Arabidopsis thaliana: one gene and its partners. The protein of the gene in region 1 interacts with the protein of each later gene in a pairwise test. Each region holds a gene or a part of one and is shown in the gene's direction. Other genes may lie near its edges. The genes, in order: eIFiso4G1, NCBP and AT1G72730.

Evidence for each region.
Region 2: the proteins of eIFiso4G1 (region 1) and NCBP interact in a two-hybrid assay, tested with the Arabidopsis thaliana proteins (one large-scale study listed by BioGRID).
Region 3: the proteins of eIFiso4G1 (region 1) and AT1G72730 interact in a two-hybrid assay, tested with the Arabidopsis thaliana proteins (one large-scale study listed by BioGRID).

The regions. Positions count from the first base shown.
Region 1 is NC_003076.8:23,437,342-23,442,059, forward strand, and holds the start of eIFiso4G1 (MIF4G domain-containing protein / MA3 domain-containing protein), read left to right. Parts: upstream 1-2,158; 5' UTR 2,159-2,413; coding exon 2,414-2,587; intron 2,588-2,959; exon of another isoform or gene 2,960-3,065; intron 3,066-3,245; coding exon 3,246-3,317; intron 3,318-3,422; coding exon 3,423-3,530; intron 3,531-3,620; coding exon 3,621-3,830; intron 3,831-3,931; coding exon 3,932-4,029; intron 4,030-4,148; coding exon 4,149-4,236; intron 4,237-4,328; coding exon 4,329-4,679; intron 4,680-4,718. Other genes in the region: AT5G57860 (Ubiquitin-like superfamily protein), read left to right, coding at 650-652, 933-1,118, 1,265-1,304, 1,688-1,746.
Region 2 is NC_003076.8:5,989,082-5,993,799, reverse strand, and holds the start of NCBP (Putative cap-binding protein), read left to right. Parts: upstream 1-3,118; 5' UTR 3,119-3,211; coding exon 3,212-3,349; intron 3,350-3,689; coding exon 3,690-3,782; intron 3,783-3,872; coding exon 3,873-3,977; intron 3,978-4,122; coding exon 4,123-4,200; intron 4,201-4,358; coding exon 4,359-4,478; intron 4,479-4,563; coding exon 4,564-4,695; 3' UTR 4,696-4,718. Other genes in the region: APRL7 (APR-like 7), read right to left, coding at 104-504, 654-778, 1,273-1,454, 2,254-2,415. UniProt on the Arabidopsis thaliana protein: Recognizes and binds the 7-methylguanosine-containing mRNA cap during an early step in the initiation of protein synthesis and facilitates ribosome binding by inducing the unwinding of the mRNAs secondary structures.
Region 3 is NC_003070.9:27,377,122-27,381,839, reverse strand, and holds AT1G72730 (DEA(D/H)-box RNA helicase family protein), read left to right. Parts: upstream 1-1,657; 5' UTR 1,658-1,835; intron 1,836-2,244; 5' UTR 2,245-2,246; coding exon 2,247-2,314; intron 2,315-2,390; coding exon 2,391-2,500; intron 2,501-2,643; coding exon 2,644-3,074; intron 3,075-3,164; coding exon 3,165-3,800; 3' UTR 3,801-4,081; downstream 4,082-4,718. Other genes in the region: AT1G72740 (Homeodomain-like/winged-helix DNA-binding family protein), read left to right, coding at 50-134, 592-693, 939-1,218, 1,310-1,341; AT1G72720 (hypothetical protein (DUF3511)), read left to right, coding at 4,554-4,718. UniProt on the Arabidopsis thaliana protein: ATP-dependent RNA helicase which is a subunit of the eIF4F complex involved in cap recognition and is required for mRNA binding to ribosome.

The DNA.
Region 1 (4,718 bases):
TGCTTTGCATTATTATTATCTCAGTCGTGAACTGGAAGAAGACGAAAAAATATTTGGGCCTAACTTCACCACAAAAATAAAATAAAGTTATTCGGCCCATAAGCCCAATATGACTTTTCGCATTGTATTTTAATATTCAATCAATCAAAAATAAAAGCCTAAAACAAAACAAACCCTCTCTGTCTTTTAGTGGGTTTTGTACGACGCCTAATCGATGTTAGTATTATATCTGTAGCCAAACAAGCCACCAAAGTGGTATTTTTCTTCTTCCTTCCTTACCTTGTAGGGCTCTGAGCTCGAGTTATAAAAAAGCCAACTTTGATTTCTTTGCCAGTATTTCATCCTTAATCCATTCTTGTGGTCACTTTTTCGTCCTTAACCCATCTAGGTAAGTCGATTTCATTGTTTGTTATTTGAGTCAGTAATTTTTGAAAATCTTTGCTTTTTTTTCTTTTCTTTTGAATATCAAAAGAAGAAAAGATTTGGGGGATAACTAGATCATCTCTTTAGTTAAATTGACTCTTTGAGGTGTGTCAATTGTCACTGATAGTCTGATTAATCTTTTATTGGCATCTTAGAACAGATTTTGATTCTAAAGTCTTGTGAATCGGCAGCGGAAGAAGAGTGAATTGTTCATCCTTATCTTGCCATGGTAAACATTCTACTTCTTTTGTTCACTTTGATGGGTTTGATTGTTCTTAGTATATTCAATCCTTTGCTTATTTGACGGGAAGTAGAGATGTTTTTGGAATGAGAACATCTTTTCCCTTCTTAATTCCAGCTTCCTGATCACATTTATTACTGTTCTTCTTGGAGTAATAAAAGTTGAGATACTTTTGTCTTGCAATAATTTTGCTTTAATCAATCGAACAAGTTAGATTTTGGCCATATTGGTTGTAGTATTGATTAGTCTTGTGTAATATTGTTTGCAGGCTATGTATATTCGTGTGAAGCGCATGAAAACTACTTACTTTATCCAATGTGATCCAACAGAGACTGTTTTGGATGTTAAGCAAAAACTGTTTGCTCTCATTGAGCAACCAGTTAACAATCAGCGTCTGGTCTTAATGTCTACCGAAGAAGTATTAGAGGATTCGAAATCCTTAGCAGATCAGAAGGTATCACACGTTTGACTATCTAATATATTTATCTTTTGAGTCATTGCTCAAGTTTAAAAGAAGAACTTGGTCACATAGCCACTGCCTCCGTTTGCGTGTATTTGAAAGTTATAAGCTTGTCACCATCTTCTTTTTTGGTTGTTCAGGTTGAGAATGATGCAGTTGTGGCTTTGACTTTGAAGAAAGGTTATACCTTAGATCCTCTTATTCTGAAATTTTCAATTCCTTGTTGAAATGTCGTAATGGATCATGCATCTTGGTTAATTACTTATCACACTTCATCTTTCTATATGTTATTTGGTATATGAACCCTTCAAACTCCATTGACTTCAATTGAGCCTGTTATTGTGAATCTTAGTTATTTTGTTATCACTGGATAATCTTTTGGTATGTTTAAGAGTCTTGCCTAACTTTTGTGACCGTGATATAGCTGAATGTGATTCCTAATCTTATTATTCTTTTAGCCTTGTTTCGATTACACAACTGTTGAGGATGCTGTATTGCATTCTGAATCTATACAGCTATGAACGGCATAATGATTGCATTGCATCTCTTTTTTCCATGTGCAGATGATAACGAGTTTGAGGATGTCAACATTGCACAGCCCACCGACTTCTCACTTTCATGAAGAGTTGCTTACTGTATCAAGGAAACTTCAGGAGAAGGTATTGATTCAAAACACAAGGAGGAGTCTATAAACGCCAGAAGTTGTTTCTTTTGCGTCTCTGCTTGTGTTAACGCCTCTTTAGTTTGTTACAGACAATTGTTGTAAGTAAAGATATTGAGATGTGGAAGTTTGATTGCAACTTGCCAGATTAGTAGTTTTTACAGTCTCTTAATATGTTTACAATGAGCTAGAGGTGCAGCTAACACGAGCCGAGGAAGCTCCATTATTACCATTTGACATTGTTCATTGACGGAAAACCCAATGAGGGTGACAAAATAAAGAGACAAAAAAACAAAATGAAAGGACATAACTGTAATCTTAACGGAAAAAAACGTTAAGGCTATAAGTGTGTCTGGTTCGGGAAAAAGAGAGGAAAAAAACCCTAATAAAGAGAAGGGATTGTGTCTCCTTCTCGACTTCTTCTTCTTCTTCTCATTTCTCAATCTCAACTTTTCTCTTCTCTTCTCTTCTTCGCTAACGGCAGGAGAGAGAGAGACCCAGAAATCCGATCCCTCCTCTCCTTGGATTATCGGAGTCAGCGATTCATCGTCGCTGATAAAGCTTCTACCTTTCTCTTCGATTTTTGTTGTGAGATTCGATTCGATCTTAAGGCGGATTAGATCGAGGTATGCAGCAAGGCGATCAAACGGTTCTGAGCTTGAGACCTGGTGGCGGTCGAGGAAACAGACTATTTGGTTCCTCTTCTTCTTCTTCGTCTCTCTCTTTTGGCTCTCTTTCATCTTCGGATCTACCTCTCCTTCGTCCTCATGGTGGTGCTCCTGCTTCCTCTTTTCCCTTCAAGGTACCCTCATTTCTGGGTCCCCTCTCTAAATTTGGATCTAACTCCCTCTTCTTCCTCTGATTTAGAATTTGTTTTATCTCTCTTGTCTTAGCTTGAGCTAAAAATTTATCCTTTTTTACGGGTTTGTCGCAATCAGCAGCCTTTTTGTTTGGAATTATAATCTTTGGTATATTGCTGATTTGATTCTCTCAAATGTCTGAATTGGCTAATATCTTTCTGATTTGCGAGTTTTAATGCTTTGTGTTTGTAATAACTACTGAGCTCATGTTGGATTTTGATAGGTGTCTGCAACATACATAATTGAACTTCATAGGTTTATATGTCAATACGAGTAATGCAAGCAGTTTGTTTGTCCTGATTCTTAGTGGCGCACGCAAGTATGTGTTTCTGCTGTAAATATGGACGTATAATGATATGTAGGCTTTTAGGTGGGCATTTTGTTAGCTGCTATTTGCTCATAAAGGACCTACTGACATTTCTTCTAGTTTTTCTTTAGTTCATCACTCATTTCGGCCTTATGGTTAAAGAATTATTCCTCTCTTTCTTTTGTACTGAGTACTCGTGGTTCCTTGTCTCCTTTATACGTTATTTCTTATATGATTTTGTGTATTGGGTGTTAGTTAATGAAGATTTATCCTGGGTTGTGCTTTTGTTTCAGGGTGGAGACTCGAGGTTCGATGGCCGTGAACGTGTGAAGTACACCCGTGAGCAGCTCCTGGAGCTTAAAGAGGTGATTATCCCAGTTAAATAATATAGGATTAAAGCCGGTTTAGTTTCTGCTGTTCGTATTTGTTCTTCCTTAGTTGAGGTCATTGACGTCTGTGCATATATACAGACCACTCAACTCTCTGATGAAATTCTGAGAGTCCAACGGGAAACTGCAGCTGAACTGTTTGGTGAGGAAGGGACTTGGGCACGTGGAGAAAGTGTCGTAAGCAATTTGGTATAGTTTTGTTGAAACATAAATTTTGCATTTTGGTATAGTTTCATGAAGTTTCACTTTTAACACATATCTTTTATTTTAATGGTTCAGGTTCCCGTTCAATCCGCAAGTCGCTTCTCTGAGCCAGACTCTCGTGATTGGCGTAGCCGTTCTACTCAACCTCCACCCTCTGGGGAGGAAAGGTCGTGGGATAATCTTCGTGAAGCTAAAGATTCCAGGTATGTTGAAGCAAGTCAATATAATCGTCAAGACCAACCTAATTCCCAGTTTTCAAGGGCAAACATATCATCCAACCAAGGGGTAATTGATCAATAGATGAATGTTTTTCCCTCTTCTTAGCCCTTTACATTCTGGCATGATTTCTTATTTTTCTTACTTATTTGTATATCGTGTGGAACCAGGGTGGACCAGCTCCTGTCCTCGTCAAAGCCGAAGTTCCTTGGTCAGCTAGAAGAGGAAACCTTTCTGAAAATGATCGTGTTCTGAAGACTGTGAAAGGGTAATGCCGTTGTGACAGTTATTAGTTGTCTAGACTTTTGTATAACTTTCCTTTACTGCCAACATGAAATCTTTAAAATAGACTATGCACACTTACAAAGATATACTTTTCTTGTCCAGGATACTGAACAAGCTAACCCCTGAAAAGTATGACCTTCTCAAGGGCCAACTTATTGAATCTGGCATCACATCTGCTGATATCCTGAAGGTGTATGCTATGTCTCAAGCATAGATGAAGTCTTGTTTGAATCATCTAGGCTGTTTGTGTGGCTAACCCGTGTTCTTTTCTTTCATTTGTAGGGTGTGATTACCCTTATTTTTGACAAAGCTGTCCTTGAGCCGACCTTTTGCCCTATGTATGCAAAATTGTGCTCTGATATCAACGACCAGCTGCCCACCTTCCCACCTGCAGAGCCTGGGGATAAGGAGATTACATTTAAGAGGGTTCTACTGAATATCTGTCAAGAGGCATTTGAGGGCGCTTCTCAGTTGAGGGAGGAGCTTAGACAGATGAGTGCTCCAGATCAGGAGGCTGAGCGGAATGACAAAGAAAAATTGTTGAAGCTCAAGACTCTAGGAAATATTCGTTTGATTGGTGAGCTTTTGAAGCAGAAGATGGTCCCAGAAAAGATTGTTCATCACATTGTTCAGGTTAACACCTATAAGCTTACACATTTTCTTAGACTTCTT
Region 2 (4,718 bases), about 17 Mb from region 1:
CCAAAGGTATAGAAACATGTCAGTCAAAGGATCTCTCACAGACAGTAAAGTAAAGTAATCTAAACTAAGCTCATTGACAGTGAAGGATTTCTAAATCACCCTTTTAGGCTGATTGTGATGAAGATTTTCCTAGTGAGACTGATGCAAGTGCGTTCTTTGCTCTTTCTTGGAAGTTCCTTGTTTTGGTGAGTCTCAGTTTTATCCATAGTCTCCTCACATCGATCATGTGTAGGGCACGGCCAAACAGTTGGCTAGTCTCACCAAGTATTCCCAAGCTCAGATGCGGAACATACAATGCCCATAACGTTTTCAACCGTGATCCCATGATGGGGAAGATCAAAATTGCCAGTTTCAAAGACAGAAACATTAGTGCAAGTACCATATATGGCTCTCTTTCTGCTATTTCTCTGATAGATGACCCGTTGTGTAGCCATGTGATCAGGTTTCCATCAGTGTCCAAGCTTGTTGGTTCACCTTCATCCATATACTGGACAGGTTTAAGACCTGGAAAGACACAGATATAAAAAAGTTTAACTGATTTTCTTCAAAGGATTTTAATAAGTTGTGAGCTAATATATTCAGATACAGTAGAAAACAAAACCAGAAAGTACAAACAGAGACACAGTCTGGCTTTTCATGAAGCATACTCTCACCTGTTGTTTCCTTGTAAAACTGAATCAGGGATGCAAGATCCTTTGGACCATGGTATCGCATCTTCATTGTTTGATTCACCATCAGGATTGAAGGCAAGCTATGGATACCATACCTAGAAAACACACTGCAATATGAACAAAAAAATTCATGATATCAATTAACATGGACCAAAAATGGGAAAGAAATGATGAAAACATTTAGTATTTTAGAGGATAAGCTACTCATGAAACAATTTCATAAGGCTAAAAGGGTTATACAGCATAATAACCTAACTAATCTACATTTGATGCTCACCAAATAAACTAAAAAGTAGCCTCTAGCAAAGCGTGCAAGAATAAGAGACAATGAACACACATAGCATCATTTCTGTCATATTGAATTATTTGTCCTGTCTTTGTAAAACTAACTCATTAAGCCAAAAACTTTACTGATCAGTGTAAAAGACGGATTGATTACTGGCAAATCTAAACAATCTGACAAGTAATTCAAGTCATTTTATTTCTGCAAGGGGGATATCAACACCCAGGATTTGTTGTGAATGGTTCAATTGATCCATGGCCTCACTATATCAGATAAGATGTAAATAGAATAATCTAAGTATTCTAAGTAAGTTCTTACGATGGTAAAGCCTGAGATTGCTCAACAATCAGGTGCGTTATGTGAGGAAACATTGAACTCAGAACATCAAACTTTGGGCGTACTGCACGTGAAAACGGGCACCGTGAGGTATAAAATAGTATGGATATATAGGCATTTCCATGGTTTGCATCCATGAGTTTGTCTAGCAAGTCTCCATCTACCTACATTAACAAGAACACAAATTAAGATACTTGAGTTACAAAAACAGGCACCCTATATAGAAGCACCCACACATATTTAATTTCTTTGCAATAACATCTTTGCTGCATTTCAACATTAGAAATTGAAGCTAATACATTGCAGGTGACATGATGAGATTCTGTTGGTAGCTTACCACTGTTGACACAAATAAAAGGAATTCATTGCAGAACTTAAGTAGAAAAGAGAGATCCCACATATCGGAGAAACAAGCATGATCGTGACAAATACATCATTAGTTATACACTTTTCCAACCAAAACAATCCAACCATTTAAGTAGATTATTTCATCATAAACTAATATATTGACTGGAAACAAACATATTACCACCAGCTTTCTTTTTACAGTAAGGGACTCTATATCCATTGAACATTCCTCAAAATTCTAACTGCAGGTAAACTACTACCACGTTCAAAAAACCTCTGAGACCTCAAGAAACATTGGAGCAAAGGTAAAACATCAGTGAAGTTAAGCTACAAGCCTATACCGTTCTCATTAAGCTTTGCATAGTGAAAACCACAACCAAAAGCTGAAAAAAAGAGACTTGTTGTCACGACCACAACACTCTAAAGTGATATCATGCCAAATAAGCAAAAGAGGGCTCGAATCGATCCTTACAAATCACATTATGGAAGAGTTATCATCTGAATTTTCAAGAGATGATATTTAAGCAAATTCTTCCACTTTAAAGGCACACCAAACGCATGCCTAATCCAATCGAAGATAAAAATATTCGTTTTGCTATAACAATGATGACGTACCTCGATAGGAGGGCTTGGATACAAAGAACGAGGACATTTTTGCTCGATCACGGATCGGAACACCTCGAATTCGTGATTGCAAACGTCAACGTAAGCAAACCCAGAAGGTAAGCATGATCCAGCTATTGCAGAGACGAGGAATATTGAAACCCACAAATTCATTAATTAAGGATCCTAAATCTACGGCGAAACAGAAAAATACAGATAAAGTTTCCCAAATTCGCTAAGAGAATCACCAGAAACTTTTTACAATTTACAAAATCAAAAACAAGAGATTAGATAAAAGTTAAAGGTGAAATCGAATAACAAAAACACGAAATCAAACCAAAGGGAAACGTAAGATTGAGCACGAGAGAGCTTAAAGAACACAACTTTAAGAGAAAAACTACACGAAACAATCACAAATATAGATTTGGAGAAAATCTCAGATCCATGAAAAAGTTTTTATTGTCACTTGTTTTTGCAGAAACATTACATTACAGATGGAGAACGCCAAAAATCGATTCTTTTTTTTAATTTTCTTTTTTGACAAATCGCATTCGTCACACATTCCTTTTTTTTTTAATTTTCTCCACTACACCACTAATCTTGCCGTGATAGGTGCATGTGTATGTGTTTAAGACATATCTCTTTTGTTCCGGTTGGATTAGTTTATGTAATAACCAACAACTATACTTAATACATTTTGTCCACTTTTGAATTTTCTGTTTCTTATTTTGTTTACTGTAAAAAAGAATGAAAATCATTGAGATATTAAAACTAACTAATCACTAAGGCCCATTTAGTAGACCCAATAAGGCCCATATGCTATTTTTTTTCTCCAGAATTTGACCTTTATGTATTTGACCGAGTGGAAAAGTAATACAGTTCTTTTCTTCTCTCCTCCTCTTTCTTCTTCCTGATTGGAATTTTAGGGCTTTTGAAAGCACGAACGCGTGAAGCTCTAATCGAGAAAAAAATGGAGGTTTTGGATAGGAGAGACGATGAGATCAGGGACTCGGGAAACATGGACAGCATCAAGTCACACTATGTTACCGACTCTGTTTCCGAGGAACGCCGCTCTCGTGAGCTCAAGGATGGAGACCATCCTTTACGGGTTTGTCCTTTATCCTTAGTATCGATTCATTTGCAATTTGAATCTGATCTTAGCTGAAAATTTGATTCCCGTTCGTCAAAGATTTCTGAACTTTGTATATGACGGTTTATAGCTAGAGTAGTGGAAGATTCGGATTCTAAATCTTTGTTTGTTGGAGTTTTTGTTTTCAAATTAGGTTTTGCGAATTTGTTTAGATGTATGTGAGCTCAAATGTTATAGGATTTTCGTATTGGTGGTATTGATTGTAGCTAGAACAAGGCAGATTGATTTAGAGGAACTGATTTCATTGTTAAGAGTAAGTACTGGCTCAGTGACTCTAGGATTTTTGGTAATGATGCAGTACAAGTTTTCGATATGGTACACTCGTCGCACACCAGGGGTTCGGAACCAGTCTTATGAAGATAACATCAAGAAGATGGTAGAATTCAGCACGGTAAGTCTAAATATACTACTGGAAGTTCATTGTTGAAGCTGTTTGCGATACTATCTTGTTCGTTTCTGAGTTATGGCTTTTATAAACTAGGTTGAAGGATTTTGGGCCTGCTACTGTCACCTTGCTCGTTCTTCTCTCTTGCCTAGTCCAACAGATCTTCATTTCTTTAAGGATGGGATTCGTCCATTGTGGGAGGTACGTATTCCCCTGTGTTGATTTTTCGTATTGTGTTTTTATCTGGATCATCGATATAGAGGGAACCTTTTATACAACAAAAGTTTCTCAAGAGTTGTATCTTCTTCAATAAACCAACTAAACTAGCTAAATTCATCACCTTTAGGATGGTGCCAACTGCAATGGAGGAAAGTGGATCATACGTTTCTCAAAAGTTGTATCTGCTCGCTTCTGGGAGGATCTGGTGAGTTTTATTTTCTTGTGGGCACTACTATTGGAGTATTGACACCTTTCTACTTTATTCAAAAGAAACCCTTTTGTCAATGTTATTTATAATCCATTTTACATACTTAGGGTCTGAGAATCATGTTAAATACTCTTCCGTTTATTTGTTTTCTTCAGCTTCTTGCGTTGGTAGGCGACCAGCTTGATGATGCTGATAACATATGTGGGGCAGTACTGAGTGTCCGTTTCAACGAGGACATCATTAGTGTATGGAATCGCAATGCTTCTGACCATCAGGTGAGAAAACTGTTCACAAGAAGAACTGTCTCTCTCCCTCTCCTTTTGATTGGTACTTACACAGTGCAATGTTTTCCTTAAACAGGCAGTGATGGGTTTGAGAGACTCAATCAAGCGGCATTTGAAGTTGCCTCATGCATATGTCATGGAATACAAGCCACACGATGCTTCTCTCCGCGACAACTCTTCCTACAGAAACACATGGCTGAGAGGATAGGCCCAAAGTCGATGATTGTATCA
Region 3 (4,718 bases), on another chromosome or scaffold:
ATAATCTTCATCATGTATTGCTAAACTTCTGATATGTCCCTATTTTCAGGTATGACGGGGTGATATTTGAAGCTCTCTCTGCTTTAGCCGATGGTAATGGATCTGATGTCAGTTCCATTTATCATTTCATTGAGGTTTGACAAATTTCTCTCTGCTATTTATTATGCACAGATCAGAAAATTATATGTGCTCGCTTTGTAAACTACTTAACAGATTATTAGAGACATCATCTATATATGTGGGAGGGATAGTTATGTTATTGGCACGTGTAAACTCTATCTTACATTGACTTGTGCAAATGGCTTATTACTACTATCAGCAATCTTAGATGATTCGTCCTTCTCAAATGAGAACACCGAGTTCTAAATGTAAAGTCTTATACTACTAATTATTTGTACTTTGACGTTTTATAGTATGATAATACTTGTCGTGAAGCTGTCCACTATGCATATCTGAAAAAATGTTAGAACTCTTGATTTTACTTAAATTTGGTCACTTTCTGTTATTCTTTTATCACATTTGGCTATATAATAGCTTTTGTATTGGACCTTACGACTGAGTGCTAACAATGGTTTACTGTGGAAAGAGCAGCCCAGGCATGAAGTACCGCCAAATTTTAGAAGAATCCTTAGTACAAGACTGAGGAGGCTTGCAGCTCAGAGCAAACTTGAAAAGGTTAGCACCTTCAAATCTGTAAGTCTTGAATCTCACTTTTCTTGTGTTTTTTAATGAGTTCCCATTTTCTTTTAAAATTCCCAAAAAAAACCATCTTCATCAATTGGTGTTTAAAACTATCTGGTCCATATCTGTCTGAGCCAATGAAGCATGGTTTAGAATCCACTGAATTAATAACTGAAGCAGTGACAATGTTCTTTAAAGCCTTCTCATGCTATGTCTTTGGTTTTTCTTTCTGTGTTGTTCAATCCAACATATAACAGATACAGAACTTCTATAAGATACCCGATCCATCAGGAACAAAAATAGGTGTCCCAAAACCAAAGGAGACACATACGAAGCTGCGCCAAGCAAACAATCAGACCTCTGCTGATTCACAACAGATGATCGAGGAAGCTGCAATAACCGCAGCCTGTAAAGTCGTAGAGGCGGAGAATAAAATAGACGTTGCCAAACTAGCAGCAGAAGAGTTTGAGAAGATGACAAAGATTGCAGAAGAAAATAGAAAACTCCTGGTCATAGCTACTGAGATGCATGAACTATGTAAGAAAAAGCCAGACTCTTTTCTCATTATTGGCTAAGCAAAACAAAACAAAACGTCTCTAACTTTGGTATTATATGGTCTGTTTTGCAGGTTCCTGTGGGGAGACTATGCTCTTGGCTTGAATTGAATCTATGGGACATTCCTTGTAGCTCTCTTCAGTTATCTCCGTAATGGTGTTGATAATAATATATAAAAAGAAAACTAAATTAATTTACTAGGCGTGGCTTTTTTGGTTTTAAATTCCTGAACCTACATACATATTTTTACATTAGCGAAGTTACTTTCGTATAATTTTATATAAATTTCTTTACATCGAATTTTAATGTTAATTTTTTTTTGGGTCCAAAACCATTAATTGGAGTAATAAATATATTAAAAGTTTAGAGGGCAAATCGGGAAAGAAGATATTTAAGTTGTTTTCCTTTTCCTACTTGGAATAAGCAAAGTAAAACCTAAAAAAAAAAAAAGACCGTAAGTAGTTACAAGGGTGGAAGTATAAAGGAGCAGTCTTTTCTTCTTCTTTCAACCCCACGGCGCAGATCCTACGAGTTTGGTCTTTGTCTCTATCTTTTCAATCTTTCTCTCTCAATCGCTCTTCAATTTGATAACAGCAAAGGTTTGTTTGAATCTCTCTTCTTTTTGTATGATTTGTATTTTGGATCCCCATTGTGCTTGCTTTTATAGAAGTTATAGGTTTTGATATTGTTTGATTCATGTTTGCTTCATCCTAATACAATGCTGATTCGTAAAGGATCGGTTTTTGTACAAGGATGATTTAGATGTTCTATTACTGCGACTTGGTTATGTTTTGGTTACATTAATTGAATCCTTAGGATTATGCAGTTGACTTTACGAAGATGAATGCTTGATTTGCTTCTGCTCTTTCTATCTCTCTTGGTGCTTCTATGTTTTTATCACCTTTTACGTGTTTGTTATGTGATCTCAGAGACAACGAGTTCGATTATAAATTGTAATCTGTTTTTTTTTTCTAATGTCGATTTCATATTTTTGTTATGCTTGTCCAGTCATGGCAGGAATGGCATCTGATGGAACTCAATATGATCCTCGTCAGTTTGATACTAAGATGAATGCCATGTGAGTTAAATTTTAGTATCTTAATATCTGAATCCCTTTATAACAACCAAGAACTGACTTGTGTAATACTTTCTAGTCTCGGCGAGGAAGGAGAGGAAACATTCTACACTAACTATGACGAAGTTTGCGACAGCTTTGATGCAATGGAATTGCAACCAGATCTTCTCAGGGGTATTTATGCTTACGGTAAGTGAAGTATTTCCTTTGAGAACACATTCTATACATACCTTCATTGTTTCTGTCTAGTTTTGTATTTTCTTTTGTTTGTTTCAAAGCTTAGTACTGTTACTCTTAAACAACCTCATATTGGTTTTGTTATTTATCATTAGGTTTCGAGAAGCCTTCTGCTATTCAGCAAAGAGGAATTATTCCATTCTGCAAGGGTCTTGATGTGATCCAGCAAGCTCAATCTGGAACTGGAAAGACCGCTACCTTTTGCTCTGGTGTTTTACAGCAGCTCGATATTAGTTTGGTTCAATGCCAAGCTCTTGTTTTGGCACCTACCCGAGAACTTGCCCAGCAAATTGAAAAGGTTATGAGGGCACTTGGTGACTACCTTGGCGTCAAGGCTCAGGCTTGTGTTGGTGGAACAAGTGTTCGTGAGGATCAACGTGTTCTTCAGTCTGGTGTTCATGTTGTTGTTGGAACCCCTGGTCGTGTCTTTGACTTGTTACGCAGACAATCCCTCCGTGCTGATGCAATCAAAATGTTTGTTCTTGATGAAGCTGATGAAATGCTCTCTCGTGGTTTCAAGGATCAGGTTTAATCTTGTTTAATCTCCCATTCACATTTTCTTTTTCTCTCTGATAAAATCAAGTCATTTGTTCTTATAATTTGATTTCTCTGTCAGATATACGACATCTTCCAGCTTCTTCCTTCCAAGGTTCAGGTTGGTGTTTTCTCTGCTACAATGCCTCCCGAAGCCCTTGAGATCACAAGGAAGTTCATGAACAAACCAGTCAGGATTCTGGTCAAGCGAGACGAGCTGACTCTTGAAGGTATCAAGCAGTTTTATGTCAATGTAGACAAGGAAGAGTGGAAACTCGAGACACTATGCGATCTCTACGAGACACTGGCCATCACTCAAAGCGTCATCTTTGTGAACACAAGGCGTAAGGTTGATTGGCTAACCGACAAAATGAGAAGCCGTGACCACACTGTTTCAGCTACACACGGAGACATGGACCAGAACACAAGAGACATCATCATGCGCGAATTCCGCTCTGGGTCTTCCCGTGTCCTCATAACCACTGACCTCCTTGCTCGTGGTATCGATGTTCAGCAAGTCTCTCTGGTCATAAACTTTGACCTCCCAACCCAACCGGAGAATTACCTTCATCGTATTGGAAGAAGTGGAAGGTTTGGGAGAAAGGGAGTAGCAATCAATTTCATGACATCGGAGGATGAGAGAATGATGGCTGATATTCAGAGGTTTTACAATGTGGTCGTTGAGGAGTTGCCAAGCAATGTTGCTGATCTTCTCTGAAGCCTTTCTTTTTTCTGTTTTTTACTGAGAAAGTGCTGTGTTTACCCCTTTTTTTGGCAGCTTCTCTATGCTTTGATTTTTGTTTTCAGGCTACTACTTAGATTTATAGTTCTTGGCTAAAAGCGAACATAACTCATTACATGATTTTGCTTTTTTGGCAATCAAGAATTTCGGCATTATTTATCTTTTTGTGAACGTGGCTTACAAGGAAGGATACTCTATGAGACTAAAGACTTTTCTCTACTTGAGTTTCATTAATGAACTTTTGTTGATTTTCTAGTTTTCTACTCTTGAATTTACAATAAATATATACTACATAAGGTTGGGGACGAGCCCCAAAAATTTCCCTCGAATTCATGAAGTGAGAAGCGGCCATGTGTAAATCCAAAGGACATGAGATCTTACAAAATTTTCTTAGGAAAAATAAATATGCAAAACTGTACTAAGTACAGTGATAACTAATCGCTAGTAATGTTTTTTTTTTAAATGTAACAAACAAATCTCATCTAAAACAATATACAAACAAAAAAAACTTCGAGTAACTAAATAGATACAGTATTGAGGTTGTGATTACTGCACTAAATATTGAACAAGATATAGAGGTGATGTCTCATTCTATAAATATGTCAAAAACTCGCAAGTGACAAAAAGCAGAAGAGAAAGAGGTTGGAGATAAAACCCAAAAGCAACTATCTCCTTTTTCTTCCTAAAAAAGCAGAGCAATCTTTTTTTGAGGTTTGTTTGCAAGTGAAGATGTTCAGATCTAAGTCATGCAGAGAAGAGACCAGAAGTAGCAGCATCACCAACAAGTACCATTGCTTCAGTCATGGAGAAAAATCAGAATCAGAACCAACAAACCAGCAGCCACCAGTGATGATGAGATCTTACAGTACATCAACTTATAATGCATACCAGAAT